Linked DNA regions of Caenorhabditis elegans. The protein of the gene in region 1 purifies or fractionates together with the protein of each later gene. This does not show direct contact. Each region holds a gene or a part of one and is shown in the gene's direction. Other genes may lie near its edges.

Region 1 (4,635 bases):
ATACACTTGTTGTTATGCCAAACAAACAGCCTGTTCAGGTGCTTCAGATTTGGGCGGATGATGTGGAGACTGAACGTGTCGTCGCTGGAGATAATATCAAATTCAAGCTGAAGGGAATTGAAGAAAACGAATTGCAAGGAGGATTCATTATTTGCTCACCAGATTCTCTTGCTAAAACTGGCCGCGTTTTCGATGCTGAAGTCCTTGTCCTCGAGCACAGATCAATTATTGCATCCGGATATTCATGTGTATTGCATATTCAATCAGCTGTCGAAGAAGTCACTGTGAAGGTATGTCTTTTGAGACCCGAAGAACTCGGGGGATGCCCAATTGGGGGGATTACCAACTCGGGGGATTGGCCCCGCCCACAGAACCGTGGCTTGCAATACGCCCATTTCTGCAACTGCCGCACGGTTATAAAATTATTTTTTCTTGTTATTTCTCGCTCTAATGAGAAAAATACAGGTTTAAAACCGTGCGGCAGTTGCAGAAATGGGCGTATTGCAAGCCACGGTTCTGTGGGCGGGGCCAATCCCCCGAGTTGGTAATCCCCCCAATTGGACAACCCCCGAGTTCTTCGGGTCTCTGTCTTTTAATTTTCTGATTTTTGCCGAGATCCCGAAATTTCAAATCATTTTTCTACTTTCATGTGACATTTTTTTCACTTTTACAAGAAACGTTAAAAATGAGACTGTTGCTTTTCTCGTAAGTATTTTTTCCAAATAAAATACATTTTCAGGGAGTCATTGCCACAATTGACAAGAAAACGGGCGAAAAGAAGCGTGCTAAGTTTGTGAAACAAGACGAGAAGTGCATTATGAGACTAGAAAGTCCTGAACCATTCGTACTCGAGCCATTCAAAGAGTATCCATACCTTGGAAGATTCACCCTCAGAGATGAAGGAAAAACAATCGCTATCGGAAAGGTCCTCAAAGTTGTCGAGTAATTTCATTGATAAATTAGTCATTTCTATTCTAAAAATTGTTTTTTTTTCTGATTTCAGCCGGTCCGTTTTCTGTCCCTCCCACATGTCGCTTTTCACTATTTTTCTTTTAGATTCCACATGTTTCCATTGGGAAGATTGTTGAATCTAATGTTACCAATCCTATTTCTAATAGAAATTACCTGAATTCATTTTCCCTTCCACTATCCATAAAGCAAAATTCTATTCGTATTCCATTTTCCCTTCATATATTATTCAGAATTTAAATCTTTGTTCATTGTTTTCTCTATTTATTCGATTAATTTGATTTGATTCATTCAATATTCATAATATGAATGGGGTGTTTGTTTTAAACTTTGGACTATACTGTAATACGAATAATCAAAAAAGGAAAATAACCTGATGATATACCCACATATGATTCGCCGTTTGTAAAATACTTATGGCCACCAATATTACAGACGCATTTTGTAAATCGCGAATTTCGCTGCGGGACCACTAACATTTTAGCAGTATTTTGGTAATCGCGATTCTCGGTGGTCGCAATTTGCAAAATATTTGCGATTTTGCAAGTATTTTACTATATCGCTGGTGCCTCTCGTAGAAGTGTGCGAACTACATTTCATAAGTATTTTAAAAACCGCGAAACACCTGTGCCTACTCTTTGCTTGAATTGCACAGATTTGATCAGATAATATTTGAGGAATGTCATTGAGAAGCAGAGTAATTGACTTGTACAAAAACTTGTACCATATGGGGAAGGAATACCCTGGTGGATCGAAATGGTTCCACGATCGGCTCAAATTGGCGTTTTCTAAAAATAAAGTAAGCGAACGAAAATAATTTTGATTGAATCGTTGCTGAAATTAGAAATTCTATAACAGAATTCACAATAATTACAGGAGGTTCAAGATTCAAAACAAGTGGAGCAACTCATTGCTCGAGGAGAGTTTGTTGTTAAAGAAATTGAAGCACTTTACTCGCTCAGAAAGTATCGTGCGATGAAACAAAGGTCAGTTCTACTATCAATGATGTCCTGAAAAGTGATACATCGCTTTAAAGGTACATTATGTCTCTCTGATGCGGCACCCGATCACCAGACCCGGGCCTTCATTCCGAGATGACAAACTTTTTAGTGGCAAAGGTTCTTTGGGGGCATAGTATCCAAGGAGACAAAGTATCCAGTAGACAAACTGGGGTGTATCTTGGGGGGCATATCTTTGGTGACAACCTTTTTTTCAACTAGATTTTTATATGTATTTTTCAACTAATTTTTTTTCACATTTTTCTGGAATAAGTTTTTTAATGCAATTTTCAATCGATTTTCGGTTATACATAATTCCCTTACAATTTATACATAATTCCCTTACAATAAATGTATGAACGATGGTCTTTTGGGAAAAGCTGTAAAACGTCCAACTAACTTGAAATATCGTGAGGCTCTTCCTGATGGTCTGATCCTTCAGCTCCGAAGGATCACATGGGTACCTTCTGATGTTCTGATCCTTCAGATAAGAAGGATCGTAAGGGTACCTCCTGATGGTCTGATCCTTCAGCTCCAAAGGATCACGAGGCTTTTCCTGATGTTCTGATCCTTCAGCTCCGAAGGATCACATGGGTACCTTCTGATGTTCTGATCCTTCAGATAAGAAGGATCGTAAGGGTACCTCCTGATGGTCTGATCCTTCAGCTCCAAAGGATCACGAGGCTTTTCCTGATGTTCTGATCCTTCAGCTCCGAAGGATCACATGGGTACCTTCTGATGTTCTGATCCTTCAGATAAGAAGGATCGTAAGGGTACCTCCTGATGGTCTGATCCTTCAGCTCCAAAGGATCACGAGGCTTTTCCTGATGTTCTGATCCTTCAGCTCCGAAGGATCACATGGGTACCTTCTGATGTTCTGATCCTTCAGATAAGAAGGATCGTAAGGGTACCTCCTGATGGTCTGATCCTTCAGCTCCAAAAGAACATGAGGATCAGAAAATCAGGAGGTACCCATGTGATCATTCGGCTCTGAAAGATCAGATCATCAGGCAGAGCCTCATGTTCTTTTGGAGCTGAAGGATCAGAACATCAGGAAGAGCCTCATGATCCTTTGGAGCTGAAGTATCAGACCATCAGGAGGTACCCTTACGATTCTTCTTATCTGAAGGATCAGAACATCAGAACGAGCCTCATGATCCTTTGGAGCTGAAGTATCAGACCATCAGGAGGTACCCTTACGATTCTTCTTATCTGAAGGATCAGAACATCAGAAGGTACCCATGTGATCCTTCGGAGCTGAAGGATCAGACCATCAGGAAGAGCCTCACGATATTTCAAGTTAGTTGGACGTTTTACAGCTTTTCCCAAAAGACCATCGTTCATACATTCAATTGTAAGGGAATTATAACCGAAAATCGATTGAAAATTGCATTAAAAAACTTATTCCAGAAAAATGTGAAAAAAAATTAGTTGAAAAATACATATAAAAATCTAGTTGAAAAAAAGGTTGTCACCAAAGATATGCCCCCCAAGATACACCCCAGTTTGTCTACTGGATACTTTGTCTCCTTGGATACTATGCCCCCAAAGAACCTTTGCCACTAAAAAGTTTGTCATCTCGGAATGAAGGCCCCAGACCCGGGTCTCGTCACGATCTCACAAGAAATGCCAAGTTTCACAAAATCGCTCATGAGAGCTCGAAGTTAGATTATATTAAACAACTTGCGTCAAATTCAATATTTCATTTTTCACAATATCTTTATTGAAAATGTTTCAGATACTACGACAAAGACGAAGAAGTTTCCATTGCCACCCAAAAGTTCGAGGATTCTGTCAAAAAACTGTGAATAGATTTTAAATTATCGTTGTATTCATATTAAAGAAACATGTACCCCACGAGTATCATTTAGTGAAATAAAAATATTATTATGATCTCTATTATTTACTCGTGAAAATGTTGAACGTCATTTTAAAGGTGCAAGCTGTTCCCTCACTGGGTCTCCCCACGATCTCCGGCATATTGATTCATGCTCTTCCCAAATTTCACAAATTCGCTATATATTTTTCTGAAAATTTATGAGGCTGAATTATATAAAAGTGCGTACAAGAATAGGTAAGATGTTCTATTGATTCCAGCAATAAGTTTTATCATAATGAACAATATGACCATGAAACTAGTGAACAAAATTTTAAGAAATTGTTGGAAGAAAATTTCGATTAATGCCGTTCCCATTGTTATTGTTATTCCCATGATTTCCTCCTTGCAAACTGAAATTTTTTGAAACCAAATTGTTCGAATTTCCATTCAGAAGTGGTAGGTAGTTGGGGCTCTATAATAAATTTCATATTTTAAAGAACTAATGTGAAATAACTAACTCTTTTTGAAGTGAGCCCAGTTGGTGTACTCTCATCCTGTCGTATCCGTAATATCCAATTCGAAAAGATTCCATGCAGCATAAGCTCACTACATGAGAAGCGTCGATCTGGAGACATTTCGAAGCACTTCTGAAATCAGTTTTGTGTATTGTGCTTGAAAATCCTGTTACCTGTAGAAAATCGAGCTGTGCACTGCTCGCATTTGGGAGCTTAGAGGGTAGAGGTTCAAGATGCTCCGGTTCAGGAATTGAAAGTCCAAAGAAAAATTGATTTGTGCGGAAAATTGAAATATGACGAGGTAAAAATTCCCCTGTAAATGAAACAATTTTTC
Region 2 (4,468 bases), on another chromosome or scaffold:
CGAGTGGAATTTGAACTTAAAACAAACAAAAAAAAAAATTGAATAGGAGTGTGCGGCTGACTGATTTTTTCGGCTTTCAGCTGGTACAGCGAGCTCTGCTAAAATTTTTACTATCCTATAAATTTTCTATCAGACGAAAATTTGTCGGTCGGCTGTCGGTTGGCTTTACCAGCAATTCCAATTTATCAACTGAGTAACTGTCATTTTTTGACAACTTTCAAACTTTTTTTGTGAAAAGTTTTACATTATTATATTCGGTCATTCTGGCACCATTCGTGTGGTTTTGAACACTTTATTAACTACAACTTTAAACATTTAAAATCGTTTTCCAATGAGTTGAAAACTCAACACTCTCCAAATTGAAACTAAAACTTTCACAGGGTGGTCCATAATTATGGCGACCACTTTGGGGCACTGTAACTTTTTTTTGGACAGCGAGCAAAAGAAGTGAATATACACATTTTATTGGTTAGAAAAAAACAAACTTAACGACATATAATACTTGATAGTTATCACCACCTACATCCGCACAGAACACAAGACACTCAAAAATCCGAATGGCCGTAGCGCACAAGTAGGCTCGATTTAGCTTATTGGTGATTTTTAAATGAGATACTTTGAGTGATTTATTATTTTGATTATATATTAAGAATACCCTTGATACAACAAAGCTTTTCACAAATAATTTTTGAGATTGGTGTCCGGTGACGGAAGTGGCATCTTGTGAAAATTGATAAAGTCAAGAAAAGCAAGCTCCCCCAAGTTTTGTGATTTTTCTTCCTTACCAACGCTCATTCATGTTGAAAATGCGAATGTGTCCAGTTTTAATTTGTCTTAGCTTAAAATGATAATTTGGTTTTCAATATTTCGATATATTCCACAGAATACAGAATGTTTGGGCAATTTTTTTTGCAACGGACTGTTTGCACTGTTATTAGAGGGCAAAAAACGACCTAAATCCGAACATAAGTTGGCTCAAAATATGTCTATCGTCTCGGATTTTGCTATTTTGAGTGTCGGAAGTCTTGATAATTATTTAAAACATAGAAACTAGTTGCTTGATCCTATGAGCGCAGCAGGAGACGTCGGGCGCTAGACCTCCTATAAAATGGAGGAAAATTATAGACTACCGATGTTGTAAGGCTCTCACTACTTTCAAAGTTGAAGCATGTTGTATGGAAATTGACGTGAACGACAGTAAATATTGTGAACTTTTTTTAAATAATCAAATTTTAAAACTTTCGTAACAGGGTAACCCCAGAAATCAAGTTCTTGCACGCGTGTAGCAGGTCGCCATAATTATGGACCACCCTGTATATTTCGAAAAATGAAAAATTACAAACCGATACTCCTCATTCAAACAAATCCAGACAAATAATCATTGTTTCTGAAAACTATTGGATCATGACCGTTCATCGTGGCCGCGGCCGAGTAAATGCGCATGTGCGCTCTATTGAACAGACCGCGGTGCGCCATCCTACATTCACAGCGGCAAGTGTTCTGGTGTCCACGCATTCTCTTCCCTTGTTTCGCAATCGATTTGCATTTGTATTTTTACAAGTATTTTTCTCCATTTTTCTCCTTTTTAATCAAAATTTTCATTTGTTTTTGGGCGATGATTCTTCATCCAATCTTCTTTGTTTTTGCTCTTTTTAAAAAGTTGTTTTTTTTTCATACTTTTGAAATACTTAATTGTATGGAATCTCATTATCTGCTCGTTTCTTAGTAACTCTAATTATTAAAATAATTCCCAGTTTACTGTTATTCAATTGTATTGTTTTTCAGACAATTCCTCAAATGTCGGCTTCTTTGCGCAAAAACGACCAAATCATTCGAGCATGCATTCTCTACGAAGCACTCGATAAGACTCGACTTTCAAAGGCCTATGAGAACTTCTGTAGGAAGGTTGGAAAGGACGCTATTCCACAAGAGGAGTTCGACTACTGGTACTATCATTTCTCCAACGTGAATGATAATTTGGACCATGATAAAAGGTAAAAATTGGTTTAAACATCAACCTAAAATTATAAATTTTTAAATCTTTCAGTCTCGATTCAAAATCGACTATGTATGCTCTCCCACTCAATATGATTCATTTCATCGTCGACAGGGTTGATTTCATTGACACGTAAGAGAGTTTTGAAAAAAAGTTGAATAAATAATAAAATATGAATTGCAGATTGGCTCTCGCAAAAGTATGCACAGGGTTCCGCGATGTCGTGAGAATCCCGGAAGTTGATCTCGAGGATTTTAACATCATTCACAATTATTCGGTTAATGGTTCGGATGAAAATAATTTTTCAAGGATCGAGTACGACGGATACAAAATCACTTACCAACCGGTAAATGGAGGATGCAAAGTTTCCTGTGTCGATCAGTATGACGACACAGAGCCGAAGTTGGAACCATCGAATAAATTCATTCAAGGAGGCGATGCCGTTCAGTTGTGCCACAATGACTTGAAATTGGTGTTGGAAAACCGAAGAGTGATACTGCAGAGTCTCATTATCGATTTCAGTATCGAGGAAAAAGATTTGTACACGAAATGCTTCACGGATATCACTAAGATGCTCAAGTCAACGAGAAGCATTGAGGTAGAAGACTTCGATGCACTTCAAGTATCGATCAGCGATTATGCCTCACTATTGGAGATCTTCCCTGCTGGAAAATTGGAATCACTCAATATCGATCCCTACACTTTCGATCGCGCGGAACTTGAAACCCTCGAGCATTGTGAGCATCTTTCAAGCATGGACCAATGGAAGATGGCTGAGAGGTTTTTTGGTAGAGGCTTCAGTTTGGATGTCCCAATTGGAAGCTTCTTCCATTTTAAATTATTCGACGTCGTGCTACGGGAGTTCACCGAAGAAGACGCTGTGAAACTTCGAGACGTGAGTTTATGTGAATATTGAAGATGATGTAGAAGGGATTGGGATTTCGCTTCAAGAAATCCAAAATTGTCTATAATTCAGAAATATTTACTAAAGAAAAAATTGAAAAAAAAAACGAGAAATGATGACAAATCCCAATTTTTGAACTTCCTCCAAAATAAGTAGACATGCCCAGTTTCCAATCAACCAACTTCTTCAGTTTTAGACTTCTTAGAAGTGCGCCACTTCACATTAAAAGGCAAAGTTCCCAGATTTGCAAAAGTCTTATTTTCAGATGATTGATGAATCTTCCGATTTCATAAGCGCTGATATCACTAGCAGAGTCATGGACCTACCAAGTGTTGCGAATGTTTTTGGACTTATCTTTGTCGCTAATGAAGAGGAAGACGAGCAAGCATTTGATTATTTCACTCCAGCCAATGCGAAGTTCACGGTTACTTTTGGAAAAAATGATGAGCCTGATGAAGACGATCCAGTTGACAAGTTCTCGATCAAAAAACGTTCCAATTCCGATTAAAATTGAATACTATCTTTACATGTAAATATTTGTATATAATTGTTTCATTTGTGAATGTAATATATTACAATGGCGATTAAAATCAAATTTTATCGTTATATGTGAATATTTGTATAGAATCATTTTGTTTGTAGATAATGTATTTAATGTCAACCTATATTGAGTATATTGTTATTTAGAGCCCCTTCCTTCCACTAACTCTAACTGAAAAATCTCACATTCCCCCGTTTAGAAGTTTTGCTCATTCTAATTTTCATTTTCCAGTGTTATATGATAAATGGTTGTGCATTGCAGTTCTCTTGGAAACAAGCAGATTTCCATTTGTCAGAAACTTCAGTTTGGAGTAAGTAATCGATATTCACTGGTGCTCAACTCGTGGTCTTCTGCCATAGTCGTAAAAGGTGCAAGGTACTATCTAATTAGAAAGGTGAACATGCACCTACAAACGGTTGTGAACAACAATAAAAAGAGCTGGTGGCATGACTTGGGAAGCCTGAAGTTCAACGCAGAAAAAACTATATAAGAATATCAAAATGTTTGACTGAATTGGCCATATTCAACAAAAAACATGAATTTTTCAGAAAAAAAGACGACAAAAATGTTCAATATTTAACTATCCAACAAAGCGGAAAGTCATACATAGTTTGGATGTAAAAATTATAATAATTGAAATCATGTTCAGACAAGATAACTGGCCAACTCGGATCATGTCTTTTTCGGTCACCCTAATATTAAAGTTAAACTTTACATGAAATTTTATCAGTTCACACAGATATACACTCGTTTCACACTTCAGAAGCACTCCTCAAATCGGCGCCGCTTCTCAACTAACTTTAGCCATTTTCTAAATGCCATTTACAGAAGTGGCAAAAGTTGGTTAAAGTTGGTCAATTTTAGCAGTGTTTTGACGCTTTTAACACCTGACTTGATGAGAGTTGGCAAAAATTGGCCAAAGTTGGTTAAGAAGTGCTCAAAGTTTGTTGGAAAGTGGTTGAAATCTAATGGCAGTCAAAAAGTGGCTAAAGTTGGTTGAGAAGTGACTACGAGTTGCCGAGCAGCT

Evidence for each region.
Region 2: the proteins of etfr-1 (region 1) and fbxa-170 fractionate together in Caenorhabditis elegans (co-fractionation; one large-scale study listed by BioGRID). This does not show direct contact.

The regions. Positions count from the first base shown.
Region 1 is NC_003283.11:11,106,759-11,111,393, reverse strand, and holds etfr-1 (LYR motif-containing protein 5), read left to right. Parts: upstream 1-1,646; 5' UTR 1,647-1,648; coding exon 1,649-1,768; intron 1,769-1,845; coding exon 1,846-1,955; intron 1,956-2,040; coding exon of another isoform or gene 2,041-2,159; intron 2,160-3,705; coding exon 3,706-3,775; 3' UTR 3,776-3,859; downstream 3,860-4,635. Other genes in the region: erfa-3 (Tr-type G domain-containing protein), read left to right, coding at 1-290, 740-946; cdkl-1 (cyclin-dependent kinase), read right to left, coding at 4,118-4,258, 4,305-4,433, 4,475-4,614.
Region 2 is NC_003284.9:1,675,437-1,679,904, reverse strand, and holds fbxa-170 (F-box domain-containing protein), read left to right. Parts: upstream 1-1,783; 5' UTR 1,784-1,797; coding exon 1,798-1,994; intron 1,995-2,047; coding exon 2,048-2,128; intron 2,129-2,179; coding exon 2,180-2,891; intron 2,892-3,165; coding exon 3,166-3,408; 3' UTR 3,409-3,700; downstream 3,701-4,468.